Canis lupus familiaris: one gene and its partner. The protein of the gene in region 2 interacts with the protein of the main gene of each other region in a pairwise test. Links are inferred from orthologs where the notes say so. Each region holds a gene or a part of one and is shown on either strand. Other genes may lie near its edges.

What was found. The genes of interacting proteins can lie anywhere in the genome.
Region 1: the proteins of DDIT3 (region 2) and TNFSF12 interact in binary tests that used the Homo sapiens proteins (3 or more experiments, as listed by UniProt). The two-hybrid records come from large-scale screens. The link is inferred for Canis lupus familiaris from reciprocal best matches to the Homo sapiens genes DDIT3 and TNFSF12.

The regions. Positions count from the first base shown.
Region 1 is NC_049226.1:32,687,762-32,690,417, forward strand, and holds the end of TNFSF12 (tumor necrosis factor ligand superfamily member 12), read left to right. Parts: intron 1-1,513; coding exon 1,514-1,638; intron 1,639-1,810; coding exon 1,811-2,062; downstream 2,063-2,656. UniProt on the Homo sapiens protein: Binds to FN14 and possibly also to TNRFSF12/APO3. Weak inducer of apoptosis in some cell types. Mediates NF-kappa-B activation. Promotes angiogenesis and the proliferation of endothelial cells. Also involved in induction of inflammatory cytokines.
Region 2 is NC_049231.1:1,963,426-1,967,753, reverse strand, and holds the start of DDIT3 (DNA damage-inducible transcript 3 protein), read left to right. Parts: upstream 1-1,461; 5' UTR 1,462-1,563; intron 1,564-2,242; exon of another isoform or gene 2,243-2,325; intron 2,326-2,421; exon of another isoform or gene 2,422-2,571; intron 2,572-4,328. UniProt on the Homo sapiens protein: Multifunctional transcription factor in endoplasmic reticulum (ER) stress response. Plays an essential role in the response to a wide variety of cell stresses and induces cell cycle arrest and apoptosis in response to ER stress.

The DNA.
Region 1 (2,656 bases), on a different chromosome or scaffold from region 2:
GAAGAGACGAGAGGCAGGGCTGGGGTTGGCTGTTTGGAACTGAGGGGGCCAGGGCAGGCCTGTCAGCTGAGCCCTTGCACAGAGGGAACAAGAGGATGGCAGGAGCCCTGGGAGTTGGCCTGTGTCGTGGTAGATTGGAGAGAGAGACCAGGGTGGCCCTGGGGAGGACCCAGGAAGCCACCTGACATCCTGCTATCGGTTTAAAAAAAGAAAATAAAGATTTTATTTATTTGACACAGAGAAAGAACACAAGCAGGGAGAGCAGCAGGCAGAGGTGGAAAGAGAATTAGCTCTAGCCTTTTTTAATTTGTTTTGCGGTACAGTTTTATTGAGCTATGCTTCACATACCATACAATTCACCCGCTTCAAGTGTGCCAATTCGGTGGGTTATTTACTCTTAGTCTGTTCACACAGTTATGCAGGCATCACCATGGAAAGAAGCCCTGTACCCTGTAGCCAGCACCCCTATGTCTCCCACCCACCACCACTCAGAGCTCTAAGCACCCACCAATCTACTTACTGTCTCTATGTATTTACCCGGAAATTTCATAGAAACCTCATAATATGTGGTCCTTTGGGACTGGCTTCTTTCACTTAGCATAATGTTTTCGGTTCATCCACATGGTAGCAGTTCTTTTCGGTGGCTGAATAATACCCCATTGCTTGGCTACGCCAGACTTTTCCTTATCCAGCCATTGTTTGATGGACATTTGTGTACCATTTGATTACTTTCATTTTTAATTTTTTTTCAATGATTTTATTTAATTGACAGAGAGAGCATGAGTGGGTGGGGGGCATCAGGCAGAGGTAGAGGGAGAAGCAGGCTCCCCACCGACCAGGGAGCCCGATGTGGGGCTTGATCCCAGGACCCTGAGATCATTACCTGAGCTGAAGTCAAGATGCCTATCCCACTGAGCCACCCAGGCATCCCCCTTGTGATTAGTTTTATTATTTATTTATTTATTTATTTATTTATTTATTTATTTATAGATTTTATTTATTTATTCATGAGAGACACAGAGAGAGAGAGAGGCAGAGGGAGAAGCAGGCTCCCTGTGGGGAGCCTGATGCGGGACACGATCCCAGGTCTCCAGGATCAGGTCCTGAGCTGAAGGCGGCGCTAAACCACTGAGCCACCCGGGCTGCCCTAGTTTTAATTAGGTACTGTATGACTCAGGTACAGTATGTGGGCATTCTCAGAGTGAGAGAGGCACACGGTAGAGACACAAAATATCGAAGCCCCCGCGCTTCTCCTTCCACCCGGCTCTTCCCCCCCCAGAGGTGGCTGGGGACAACTTGCTCCTTACTGCTCTGGTCACACAAGTGTGGCATTTCTTCCCATGATTTCCTCTGATGCTGCAGGGGTTGTGGCTCCTCCCTGGGCCGCAGGGCCGTCTCTTCATCTCCTGGGGTAAGAGGGCCCCCCCAGGCCTATGAATTTGCAGAGGTCCCTGGGGATCATGAGAAGGCCCTGCAAAGGGACTGTCCCCAATCTCTGAACCCCTGCATTCAGGTGTGGATGGGACGGTGAGTGGCTGGGAAGAGGCCAAAATCAACAGCTCCAACCCACTGCGCTATGACCGCCAGAGCGGGGAATTTATAGTCACGCGGGCTGGGCTCTACTACCTGTACTGCCAGGTAAGCCCCACCTGGCTCCACGGTAGGGCAGGAAGCGGGGGCCCCAGGTTGAGGGAGACGGAGAGGGTTTGGTTCAGGGGGCAGGTTGGGGTGGGGAGCCTAGGGTCGGGGCCCGATGGGATCCTGGGGTCACCAAGGACCCCGGACTCTGCGGCCTCCTGCCGGCCCCCAGGTGCACTTTGATGAGGGGAAGGCTGTCTACCTGAAGCTGGACTTGCTGGTGGATGACGCCCTGGCCCTGCGCTGCCTGGAAGAGTTCTCCGCCACAGCCGCCAGCAGCCTGGGCCCCCAGCTCCGCCTCTGCCAAGTGTCTGGGCTGTTGCCCCTCCGGCCCGGGTCCTCCCTGCGGATCCGCACCCTCCCCTGGGCCCATCTCAAGGCCGCCCCCTTCCTTACCTACTTCGGACTCTTCCAGGTTAACTGAGGCGCCCTGGGGGCGCCCCCACTGCAGCTCCCCCCACCCCCTGCCCTGACCTGCCTGCCCTCTGCAGGCTGCTTGGACTTGTTCACCTGTTTCCGTGCCACATACATAATCCTCTTCCCCTCTGACACCCCCATCCTCCACCTCACTGGCCCCTGAACCCCTGGTCTTTTGAAGCCCCCATTTATCTCCTGACTTCCTAACTCTTGGCCAACCCCCGCCACCCCCCCTCCCCCCCAACACCAGCCAAAGGACACTGTGTCTATTCTGGGTGAGAATGGGTCCCTAACCTCCCCCCACTTCAGGCACTAATCAGGGCTAGACGCCAGGGCGACTGGGACACGGAGGCCGGGAGTTCCCATACGCGAGGGCTGAGAACAGGATGAGCTCCTTCCCTGTGGATTTTTAAAACAGATATTATTTTTATTATTATTGTGACAAGATGTCAATAAGTGGATATTAAAGAGAATAAACCACAGTCTCTCTCTTTACTGGGGTGTGGGGAACATCGCTCAGAGGAGCTGGGGGCTCCATGGGAAGGGGGCCTGGGTACCTAGGAGTGGAGTGCAGGATGCCAGGGCAAGGTACAGGCCCAGG
Region 2 (4,328 bases):
TCTGCCTGGGGAGGAGGGGAAGGCGCACGAAGTAGGAAGGAACTTGGGGAGAGGGCGGGCGGAGGGTGGGCGAAGCACTGAGGGAGGGAGGTGAAGAAGGCAAAAGTCAAGCAGTGCGAGGGAGAGACGGCGGGGGCAGGTGAGGGCGGGGGGGCGGGGATGGGGCCGGGAAAGGGGCCGAGGACGCGGGGGGCAGAGGGTAGGGACAGCAGGGGAGGGGAGGGGGAGGGGCGGGGGGGCCGGGCCCTGCACTCACCGCGGCCCATGGCTCGGCCGGCCCCGCCCTGCGCAGTCGCGGCCCAGAGGGTGAGTGGGAGGGAGTGGGAGGAGGGTCGGCGGAGCCCGAGCCTCCGGTACGGCCCCGGCCGGTCCTAGCAGGAAGCGCCGCCGCCGCCGCCGCGGATCACCGAGCGGCCTCCCGCGCATGCGCCATGGGGGCCAGGGGCAGCCCTGGGGATTCCGTTCCCAGAAGGCACCGCGCAGGCTGCCGCCGCCGCCGCCGCCGTCGCTGCCGCCGCCGCCGCCGCAGCCGCCGCCGCCGCCGCCGCCGCCGCTGCCCGGACGGGAGAGGGGCGGGGCCGGGCCCCCGCCCAGCGGACAACGACGAGCCAACAGGAGGGGCCGCAGTGCGCATGCGGGAGCGCGCCTACCCCTCCCCCACAACCCCCCATTAATCCCCAAGAGAACAAACACCCCACGCGGCCCCCCCGCCCTCCGCGGAAGGATCTGAGCCTCTTCCCAGGCCACCGGCGGCCAATCCCAGCCCTCCCCGGGGAGGGGCCCCTTCCAAAGCCACAGTCTGTCGGGGGAGCCAGGAATGCCGGGTCCGGGAGGGGCCGGCCCCAAAAGATGAAAGTCGCGACTTGCCCTGCCCCGCCCCAAAGGCTTCCCGGGTAGTGTGCTGGGACTTGACCCGCCTCCCCAGGTCAACATGTCACAACAGGACCTCCGCCTGTCAAGTCACATGACCTCTGCCTGTCACTGACAACCTGGTCATGTCTTTGGGCCAGGAGAGACCATCTGGTCCAACCCACCCCCACCCCCATCTACTGAAGGGGAAATGGAGGTCTGGAGCAACGGAGCAGGCCCGGCCGAGGACCTGTCACCGTCACACCACCACCTAAACCTCCTTGCAGCCACAACCGGCCTTGTGACAGATTCTACTTAACTCTGGCTGCCCCCGTGAGGGTATGACAGTGAATACAACCGGCCGCCACATGGCATCTTTTTTCTCTCTAATGGCACAAGAAAAACGTTTGCATTTTAAGCGATGCTTTTCACTTTTGTTTAAGCTGCCTCCAAGTTCATAGTGCTCTCGTTTTACCTTCACAACTCGTCATCCTTTATTTACAAACAAGAACGGTTGTGGCACAGATATTAGGGGGCAAGTAAAGGGGCAGGTGAGGCCAGACTCTGGGCTCCTGACAACCCGGTGCAAGGCGGCTGCGCGCTCAAGTGCACCCAACGTCCCAGGCAACGAGGCTCTAAGGTCGCCCGAGCACCGAGGCGGCAGGCGGCGGGTGCACGGCTCCTCACGCAGGAGTCACAGGACCTGCGCGGCTGGTACAGCGAAAAGGGCGGGTCTTGATCCTTGGTGGAGGCACCAGAGTACGGGGGGGGGGGGGGGGGAGGCTGAGAATCGCGTCCACCGGGCCAAGTCCTGAATCCTGGCATGCTGAGCGCTCATCAGAAACTTCACAAAGATAAAAGTTAGGGGTGCTTTTCGGCGAGGAGCTGAAAATGACCATCAAAAGTACTCAAGTTCCTCGGCCCCTTCTGGGGGAATTAGGGAGCTAAACGGGATCTTTCTATGCGCCTACTCGAGGAGACGTTAGGCGGTCCTGTGGCTGCATGCAAACTTTCAAAAGAGATTGGCTTAGAAGACCTCGCGCCCACTAACTAGGAGGGGACCGAGCAAAATGGGAGCCCCCCATGCAGACGGCGAGGCGGGGGCTAACGCCAGGTGGGCGGAATAAGGGCGCCGAGGAGGACGAGCCGCAGCGCGGCTTCGCAGGCAGCCTGAGGGCGGCCACGGTTGGGAGCCGTTGGGGCCGTTGGGAGCCCGGCGCTGGCGCCCCGCCCTCTCCTCTCCCCCACCCCCCCGCACCGCCCACCACCCTCGTCGGCCCCTGCGCGTGCGCGCCGAGACACCGGTTGCCAAACATTGCATCATCCCCGCCCCCCTCTCCTCCCCTCCTCCCCTCCCCCCCAGCTCTCCCCTCCGCGCGCGCGCATGACTCACTCGCCTCCTCCGCGGAGCCTCGTGACCCAAAGCCACTTCCGGGTCCGACACCACCTCTACCCCCGGGCCGGCGGGAGCGAAGGGGGCGGCGCCGCGGGGGCTGCTGAGTGGCGGGCGCGGGGGGCGGGGCGGGGCCAGCGCCGGCGTGCCGCGCCCTGATTGGCAGGCTTGCGGGCCCGCCCCCGAGGGGAGGGCAGGGCCTCCTTAAAACATCCGCGCTCGGGCCTCCGAGGTCAGAGGCTTGAGTGTAAGGCACAGAGCGGATCATGTTGAAGATGAGCGGGTGGCAGCCACAGAGCCACAGTCAGAGCCGGAACCTGAGGAGAGAGGCGAGTACCGATCCCACCTGCTCTTTACCCTCTAGTCCTCGGGGATGCTGGTTGTCCCTTCGAAGTTGGGGCATCAGCTGCTCAGGATGCGGCCCCACCCGTTCCCCGACGAAGTTAGTGACAGTTCGAGGGAGGGACGGGGAGCATCCTTTATCCGGGAGTGGTGCTTACAGACCTCTCTTCCCTCGGACGGGAGCGGCGCCCCACCCTGCCCGGAGCGCGGGCCCGGCTCTGGGCCGTCGGGCTAAGGGGTCCGGATGCCCTCGGGAGACTCCCTGTCTTCCGCTGCTGCCCTAGGCCGCCTCCTTGGTCCTGTCCGGTGGGAGGCGGGGCGGCAGGACACTCCCCCACGCCGAGACGCCTGGATGGCTCTGGCTCACGCCCTTGCCGCCACTTTCCCACCAGCGGCCCTGCCCCTACCCCACCCCCAATCCTGTCTCAGCCCAGCGTCTCAGGGCCAGAGTGGCCACGTCGGTGGATGGAGCTCCTGGGTCCTGCACAGGACAGCCATTCCACACCCTAACGGAGAAGAGAACCTTAAGGAGACAGACTCCAGACTTTGGGAGGAGGAGGGATGCCAATGGCTAGGGAGCAGAGATGGGTTTTCCCATTCCCCCAGAGGTCCCGGGGGCCTCCTGCACAAGAGAGCATTCTGGATCCCTTAAGTGTGGGAAGCCATTTGGGGTCTCCCCAGTGTAGGGTCCTTCCGCAGGGATTTGTCCCTGCTGCTTTCCCCGCGTCCTGCCTCCCAGCTAATTTCTGTGTAACCGTTGCATCAGGCCAGCCCCCTGTTTGGCTCTGCAGCCCTCTGGCCTGGGGCCCCACTGCTGATGAAAGCGGCATCCCACACGCTGGAAGGCAAGGAGGGTCCCCCAGGGAGGACAGCCCTGAAGAGAAACACTCTGGGAGATATTGCATCTCCAGTCCCCAGGGCTGGGCAGCTGCTGCTCTGCCTCTGGGCTTCCTCCTCCCTTCCCTATGAGACACTGGGGAGAATTCTTTCATTCTTCACAAATTACTTATTACACACCTGCTATGTGCCACACATTTTAGGCCCAGGATGCATCTACGAACAAGGAAAAGACCTGTTCTCACAGAGCTTACATTTCGTGGGAAAAGGTGCACAGCGAACAAATATAGAAGTGCCAAGGAGAAAACCAAAGCATGGAAGGGTAGTGAATGCCCAGGATGTTTACCTTGAGTCATTAGAGATTCTCTCACAGAGGTGACATTTAAATGAAACTTCTGAAAAGAGGCAAAGTAGTAAGCTGTGCAGATTTGTGAAAGGAAGAGCTTTCCAGGAGAAAGAACAGTGAGAACAGAGGTCCTAAGGTGGGAGTGTGCAGAGTTTAGGGAGCAGGCCAGCTGGACGGACTAGAGGGAGAGTGGTCAATGAGAAATCCAGGGCAGGGAAGGAGATTGTGTGGGGCCTTCTAAGCCATATTAAGGACCTTTAGCCTTTAATATTCATGAACTTTAGTCCTTGAAGAGTTTTGAACAGACTGACAGGACCTGACTAGAGTTTTAAAAGGCTCACTCCAGGGATCCCTGGGTGGCGCAGTGGTTTGGCGCCTGCCTTTGGCCCAGGGCGCGATCCTGGAGACCTGGGATCGAATCCCACATAGGGCTCCCGGTTCATGGAGCCTGCTTCTCCCTCTGCCTGTGTCTCTGCCTCTCTCTCTCTCTCTCTGTGACTATCATAAAAAAAAATAATAATAATTAAAATAAAATAAAATAAAATAAAATAAAATAAAATA